2 linked regions of the Stegostoma tigrinum genome follow. The protein of the gene in region 1 binds, or shares a complex with, the protein of each later gene. Links are inferred from orthologs where the notes say so. Each region holds a gene or a part of one and is shown on either strand. Other genes may lie near its edges.

Evidence for each region. The genes of interacting proteins can lie anywhere in the genome.
Region 2: gas8 (region 1) and iqcd share a complex: the UniProt entries of both Homo sapiens proteins name them as parts of the nexin-dynein regulatory complex. The link is inferred for Stegostoma tigrinum from reciprocal best matches to the Homo sapiens genes DRC4 and DRC10.

Annotation. Positions count from the first base shown.
Region 1 is NC_081369.1:39,930,772-39,934,522, reverse strand, and holds the start of gas8 (dynein regulatory complex subunit 4), read right to left. Parts: upstream 3,005-3,751; 5' UTR 2,884-3,004; coding exon 2,881-2,883; intron 1,671-2,880; coding exon 1,578-1,670; intron 1,267-1,577; coding exon 1,069-1,266; intron 1-1,068. UniProt on the Homo sapiens protein: Component of the nexin-dynein regulatory complex (N-DRC), a key regulator of ciliary/flagellar motility which maintains the alignment and integrity of the distal axoneme and regulates microtubule sliding in motile axonemes.
Region 2 is NC_081379.1:29,976,211-29,979,961, forward strand, and holds the start of iqcd (dynein regulatory complex protein 10), read right to left. Parts: upstream 2,476-3,751; 5' UTR 2,394-2,475; intron 1-2,393. Other genes in the region: tpcn1 (two pore channel protein 1), read left to right, coding at 2,709-2,811. UniProt on the Homo sapiens protein: Component of the nexin-dynein regulatory complex (N-DRC), a key regulator of ciliary/flagellar motility which maintains the alignment and integrity of the distal axoneme and regulates microtubule sliding in motile axonemes.

The DNA.
Region 1 (3,751 bases):
TGTGGATGATCAGCCATGATCATAATGAATGGTGGTACTGGCTTGAAGGGCCGAATGGCCTACTCCAGCACCTATTGTCTATTGTCTATTGATATGAAACTATAAAACTATACCAAGAGAAAAAGAATGGGGATCTGAACATCTGAAAACATGTTGGCAAGATTATAACAGACGATAACGAAAAGGTCTTTTTTAATGGGTACGGTACTTTGTGAAAATGATACAAGGAAGGAAGAGGACAAAATACTAACATTGTAAGGGTTTCTATAAACTAAATAAAGGGGAGAAACTTCATCAATTGAATGTAAGTAAACAAAATGGTAATGGAGAAACTTAGACTAAACATAAAGTAAATGTCCACTCCAGCATATAAGAAGTAGCAGTGAGGAACTTGCACATGTATTAGCCATCATTTTACTATAATACTTAGATTCAGAAAATGTGCTTTTGAAATGGAAAATTACAAATGCCACTCCTTATTCAAGAAGAGATTGTAGTAAACTTGGCATTTTCAAGATTTAAGACTGAGATTGAACAAGGAGATTACAATGAACATTTTTTTGAAAATACTCAGTCTGCTTCAAATGGAGCATTATTTCAAAGTCTGGTTATTACACTTTAGGAAGGATGTGAAGGCTTTGGAGTGGGTGTAGAAAGGATTGACATGAATAATTTCAGGGAAGACAAACTTCAGTTAGACAGCTTGGAGAAGCTGGAACTGATCATTTTAAAGACAGAGGGATTTGGTAGAGGCATTTAAAATCGTAAGCGCTTACTTAGAGTAGATACAGAGAAACAGTTCCATTGGAAGAAAATCAGATTATGCCAATTTAAGGTGATTGGCAGAAGAAATGCACAACCCAAGAGTTTACAGCCTTTCAAAATATTGCAGGGCTAAGGGGAATAGCAGGAAATGGAAAAAACAGTTACTATGCAGAAAAACATACTGGAAGTGGAACAAAGGCAGGTAAATAGACCTAAGATATAGACCAATGATGATATAACTGAGTACTGAAATAAGTTTGGGAGATTGAACCAGGAATTATATTACTGAATTAGGCTCCTTACTTTAATTTCGACCTGGTGTCGTTCCTCTGCATCCTCCATTTCTCGATCTTTGTTTCTTAACTCCGACTTCCTCTCCTCCAGTTGCCTCTTAGTGATCTCCCAAAATGTGTGAATTTTGTCTCGTTCAAGTTGAAAGTAATTCCGTTCTTCTCGTTCTCTGTCAAGTTCTTCACGCAGCCGAACAATGTGTTCCTCCAACTGTGTATGGTCAATAAAGAATAATTAATTTTTCAAATGAAACCCCTGAAACATGGAAAACTTTATAAATACAGAATCCTATCACACAGCAAGTTACTTAGCTCGTCCTAAAAGAGCTATTCAATTATTGCTGTTTTCTCACACGCCTCCAATTCTATTTTTCCTCTGGTTCTTTGCTTGATTACATAAAATTCAAAGGTCAGTCACATCCTTGGACTAGCTCAAACAACCAACTTTTGGAACATATTGATCAATCTGCCACAGACATCATTTGTACATAGTCTTCACTTTCACAAAACAGATGTACTTGCCTGCTCCTTGGACATTGCCTCTGTAGAAAGGCCATCGATCACCGTTGGCGTTTTTGCTTTCTTGCCTCCTTTCCCTTTCTTCTTTTTGGGTGGCTGTTTAATGGAAAACCTTAGTTAATATGACATTCCTTTTGCAATACACAATGAAATGTAATGAAGCCTCTTAGTAAGGTTGGTAATGTTAACACTAAAACCAAGAATACACTTTGCCATGACCATACTGTTACGGGGCTGAGCAGTTTTTGCTTCTTTTCATACTTTTAACAAAAGATTGGTTTGACTTGCTGCTTGGCCTGCTGTGTTCATCCAGCTCTACACTTTGTTATCTCGGATTCTCCAGCATCTGCAGTTCCTATTATCGCTGATATTGGTTTGTCTTATACTGCCACTGATAATTTTGCAGTGTAATCAAAAATCTGTACATTTTTGATTAAATGGAAATAGTTCTTCCTGAGCAGGGGTATCTTGCTATGAACCTGTCCAGGAATCCTTCAAGCGCAGCAAGAGAAGATCATCAAAACCCATTCTGAAGTTTAAATGTCCAGCTGACATTTAGAAGGCTATTGTGAAAGGCTAAGTATGTGATTAGAATATCACATAAATGGGTGAGTGTGTAGGGCAGTCCAGATGGGTCAGGACAGGCAATGGTGTGGTGGGCTTGGATCGCTGGGTTTTGGGTCTGACGGGCCATGTTGGACATGGACGTTTTATGTCTGGGTGAGTGCTGGCTCCAGTGGCATAGGGTGATGGAGGTGATAAGAGGGGAAATGGAAAGAAAGGCAGGTAGGAGGCAGGTGGATAAAGTGTGGGGAGGTGGCAGGAGGGTAAGGCGATTTGGGAGGGAAAGAAGGAGTAGACGAGGGGGATTTGGGAGGGAAAGGAGGAGTAGACGAGGGGGATTTGGGAGGGACAGGAGGAGTAGACGAGGGGGATTTGGGAGGGACAGGAGGAGTAGACGAGGGGGATTTGGGAGGGACAGGAGGAGTAGACGAGGGGGATTTGGGAGGGAAAGGAGGAGTAGACGAGGGGGATTTGGGAGGGAAAGGAGGAGTAGACGAGGGGCATTTGAGAGGGACAGGAGGAGTAGACGAGGGGCATTTGAGAGGGACAGGAGGAGTAGACGAGGGGGATTTGGGAGGGACAGGAGGAGTAGACGAGGGGGATTTGGGAGGGAAAGGAGGAGTAAACGAGGGGCATTTGGGAGGGATATGAGGCGGGTTTGGGGGGAGGGAAAGGTGCGAATCTGTCCGCATAAGCCTATGTGGTTCTTGTTTGAACGTTTCTGCTCCATAACGACACTCACCATCTTGACGATGCCGCTGCTCTGAGCAGTTATTCCTGAACCGTCTATTTACCACCAGCACCATGGAAACGGCAACCAAATGCCGCGAGACTCGATGTGCGCTCGGCGGGGCTGGACCGGTTGTCTTGGGGGAGGGGGGGAGCCGATGGGCCAGATGGGCGGGGCATGACGCTAGCGGGGGGCGTGTCCCGAGGGAGGGGCGGAGCTCGGCCTGGGGGAGGCGGGGCTGGTCCCGGGGTGGGTGGGTCTGGAAGTCGAATTCGGGAGATGGAATCCAGTGGAAAAGGCTAGTGCAAACTGTGGATCTCAATTTGGGAAGAGGTTTGGGAGCCTTCATTATTACGGGAAAATAATCTCCTGAAGGCTAGAACAAATATCCAGAACTTTTATCGCATTAAATGTCATGTAGGGATATTTGCAAAAAGAATAACTGCAGAATTAGTAATTTATAATCATGCTACTAATAACTGATTGGATTATATGGGTTCCTGTAATAGTTACTGATATAGAGCTCTAAAGTTTAAAGGTAGATTGTGTCTCAGATTTGTAATACTTCCAGTTCTTTTTTATTTTATGGTGATATTTTAAATGAAACATAGTTTCTTGTGATCATTGGCCAGCATATATTGATAAATAAAATATGATGTGGAGGTGCCAGTGTTGGACTGGGATGGGCAAAGTCAAGAGTCACACGACGCCAGGTTATATTTGAAATGACAAGTTTTTGGAGTGCTGTTCTTTTGTCAAGTGAAGTCCTGACATATAAATAAAGTGAAGGAAGGTGATAGTAAAGGGTGACACAATGGTAAGCAGTACCAGGGGCCAGGGTTCGATTTCACCCTCCGGTGACTGTGTGGAGTTTGCACATTCT
Region 2 (3,751 bases), on another chromosome or scaffold:
AAATGCCAAAGTTAAATTGGGGTCAGTTCAGTTATTGGACCCTCCTAGTGCCTCAAATGCTTCTATGGTTAATCATTAATATAAACAATAAACAGGATTTTAAATTAGCAATGTTGGTTAAGTGGTAAACATTAGGTAGTTAAACCACCCCAGTTCTTCTTCATATCAATGCCATGGGTTTTTCCTTTGTTAACATGACTGAGTAGATAGACCTCAGTTCAGCAATGTATATGAAAGACAGTACCTTTGGCAATGCAATGCAGTACTATATTAGATGGCAATTTTAGATTACATGCTTAAATCTCAAGTGGGACTTGAACCCACAATTTCTGACTTTGAGACGAGTATTACCAATATACCGCATTTAAATTGCAACATTGGCAGAAGAGACTTGATCTATAAATTTTATAAAATTATGTTAAAAAAAATCAGAGGATGCACTGCATGAGGTTGATGTGGATAACATATATTGATAGCATTTATTAAGATTTTATATTAATATGTAGGAGTGATACATTAGTATACTTCAAAAACAGAGGTAGTTTATAATAAAGTGAACTGTAATAAATCATATCAGTTCACATTATTAAAATAGTTTAGAATATATAGTAACACACTTCTGATTTTTGTTTAAACAGTTTTTCCTCTTTACACCCTCCATAAACTTGAGTTCATTCAAAACATCCTTGTCCTAACTTGCACGAAGTCCTGTTCATGTATCATTCCTGTGCTCACACATGCACATTGGTTCCTGGACCAGAAATGCTTCAATTTGAAGTCTCGTTCAACAACAAACACAGAGAATGCTGGAGAAACTCAGCACGTCTGGCAGCAAATGTGACATTCTCTGTATTTGCTTCAGATTCCCAGCAATTTTGCCTTTATTTAAGTGAAAATTCTCATTCTTGTGTTCAATCCCATCACTACTGCATTGCATTCTTTAGCCTTACAACCCTTTAATATTTCTGTACTCCTATAGTTCTGGTCTCTTGCACAGGCATGATATTCATCGCTCAACAAATGGTGCTTTTGCCTTTAGCCATGACTTTCCTCCCTCCTTGCCTGTCTCTTTCCTCCTTTTAATTAGATCCTTAATACCATTTGTCCCAGCATCTCCTTGTGTGGCTCAGTGTCAAATCTGTCTGATTGCTTTCCTGAAAAACACATTCCAAAGCTAAGCACTAACCTCCTCATTTGCTGAGTTTAGGGTGATAAGGCTGCCACTTAGTTTGTAAAGTTGACACTTGTCAGTAATGTGCAGGTTTATTTATATCTTTGTCAAATGTACTATCATATATAAATGTAAATTATATTTTTTTCATAAATGCTTAATTTCACAGAAACATTCTCCCACTGAAGTACATTAAACACCCATAAGTTGATTTCCACAAAGAATTATGATCACAGTTGCTATTTGAAAAATGATCAAAAAATCAGGAGGATAAGGGTTTTTAATACTTGAGCGAGGTATTTAGTGTTGATTTTCAGATCAAAACAATATATTATGTTCAATTTTCTAGCTGTAGCACATGGGTTGCAGCAGTTCAAGAAAGCAGTTCACCACCACCTTCCTGAAATCAACAAGAGAGAGGCAATAAATACTGGTCCAGCCAGTGATGTCCATATTTCACGAATTAATTTAAAAGTTACTTTACAATCACTAACTATAAAAAAGAATATATGCTGTGGATGGCTACCTGGAACTGAGTCAGAAGTCTCTCAGACCTAGTGCAGTCAACTTGATAAGTCATAATTAATGCCCTGGTGTTACGTTGATATGGGCTGCCTCAGATGACAGACTGAAGGGACAATAAGGATCCAAGGATCAAGAGGATACCTTGGAGTTTACTGATTCCCGAGACCATAAGGCCTAGCTCTCTAACAGGATGGACGAAAACTGTGGGTGGCTACTAATCTTCTCCAGGAATTCACAACAGCTCAAAAACATACCAATTCGGAGCCATTGGGCCCTTCAAACCTATCGCTGTTCTATAATGATCTGATTTGTTTATGTTTTGAATTCTACAGTTCCTTTTACTCGGATTACATTTGGATCCCTTGCCTAACAGGAATCGTAGTGATAGAGATTTTAACAGCGCAAAAAGGGCTCTTCGGTCCATCTTATCCGCGTCAGTCATCAAACATCCATCTATTCGGATTCCATTTTCCATCACTTGGCCAGTAAGTATTAAGGATTCCTGACTCTAGAAACCTGTCGGGCAGTGAGCTCCGGATACTTTCTGATTTCTCAAATATTCTGCCTGAGAATATTCAACCTCGTCCTGAGGCACAGAGACCGTTCGTCAGCTCGTTTTAACGGGATCCCCCCCGCCACCGCCGACCCCGGTGCTTTCGGGTTAAAGGGTTCCTCTGCCGCGAACGGACGCACTCACCTATCTCCGCCCTTCTGTTTGCCAGCGACGGTTACTCCGTTGCTAAGAGACGGACGACCTTTTCCCTCTGACTCGCTGGCCGCGCCGTCCACGTGGGAGGAGGCGGGTTTCACGCGAACCTGTTGGACGCCGCGCTTTTGATTGACGTTTCCTCTCGAGTGAGCCCGCCGGACCGACCGTCGGCCTGGACCAATCACCGACAAGGTGTGGATCAGGGTCCCGCCCTCTGCTCGCTCGTCCTTCCCGCCTCCCGCACACTCCCAGCGTCGTTCTTCGGCGGCGGCGACAGTTTGGGGTGTGGGGGTATACCGGACGATGGCGGTGACGCTGCCTGTCGACGATGATGTCCCTTTAATCTTGACAGACGACAGCACGGGGATCAGTGCCGACCCAGACAGAGAGGAAATCCCCAACGAAAGTAGGCAATATGATCGGTTATACTTTTCCATGTCAGAGCTTTCGGGTATGCAACTTTCTTGACCCCTGGTGGCTGTTAGCGCCACGATCTGCGTCTTTTTTTATTTGTCCGTTTATTCAGATCAAGTTGTCGGAGATTCTGCTCCGCGTGTTGATCACCTCAAAGAGGGCGAAAACTCACCGGAATCTGCTTTAGCGCCCCGGCAACCGACTGGCTTAGTTGTCAAACAGCAAATTAAAAACGTCTTTCTGGTTGCACTTGACAGTTCAGGTAGCATCTGCGGTGGACTGGTTACCCTTTGAGCACCATCAGCTTTCGACAGAGCTAATGTTGAAAGAAGATGAATACCTCAACAAAGTTAACCATTCTTTGCCATTGAATTAGATTATTGAAAAGAAGGTCCATTTGGACCTTTTGGCCCATCTTGCTTGTGCTGGCTCTTTGAAAGCCTTGCAAAATCTGGCCCTTCAAGTCTGAAAGCCATAATTAAATCTGTTTCCTCTGCTTTGCAATGCGTTCCAGATCATGACTTAGTTTTCCAGAATGTTACTTTCTTCAGTGCTGAATTAAATAATAAGAATGAGACTACTGCAGTTTCTGTTACTTTGCAGCTGTTTCAGCGTCGTTTGTGTTGTTAGGCTTTGTAATTTAACGGGCTAGAGAGGACAGCTCTCTCTTTTATTTAGTAATAAAATCAGATTACAACTCTGACTTTGATCTTCCAGTGCTTATTTGCAAACCCTATACTTTTACCTATATAAAACCAATTGCTATCAATCATTAGCTATCCTTGGGGCAAAGGGATTTCAGAATCCTGAAGGATATTGAGGCCAATTGTATTTTTTTCCAATGAAGTCGTATTCCTTTCTTAGTGTATGCCTGGCAGAGCTTCACTGGAAATATTCTTGGTGTTGCAATTTCTTCCTCATAGCTGTGAATC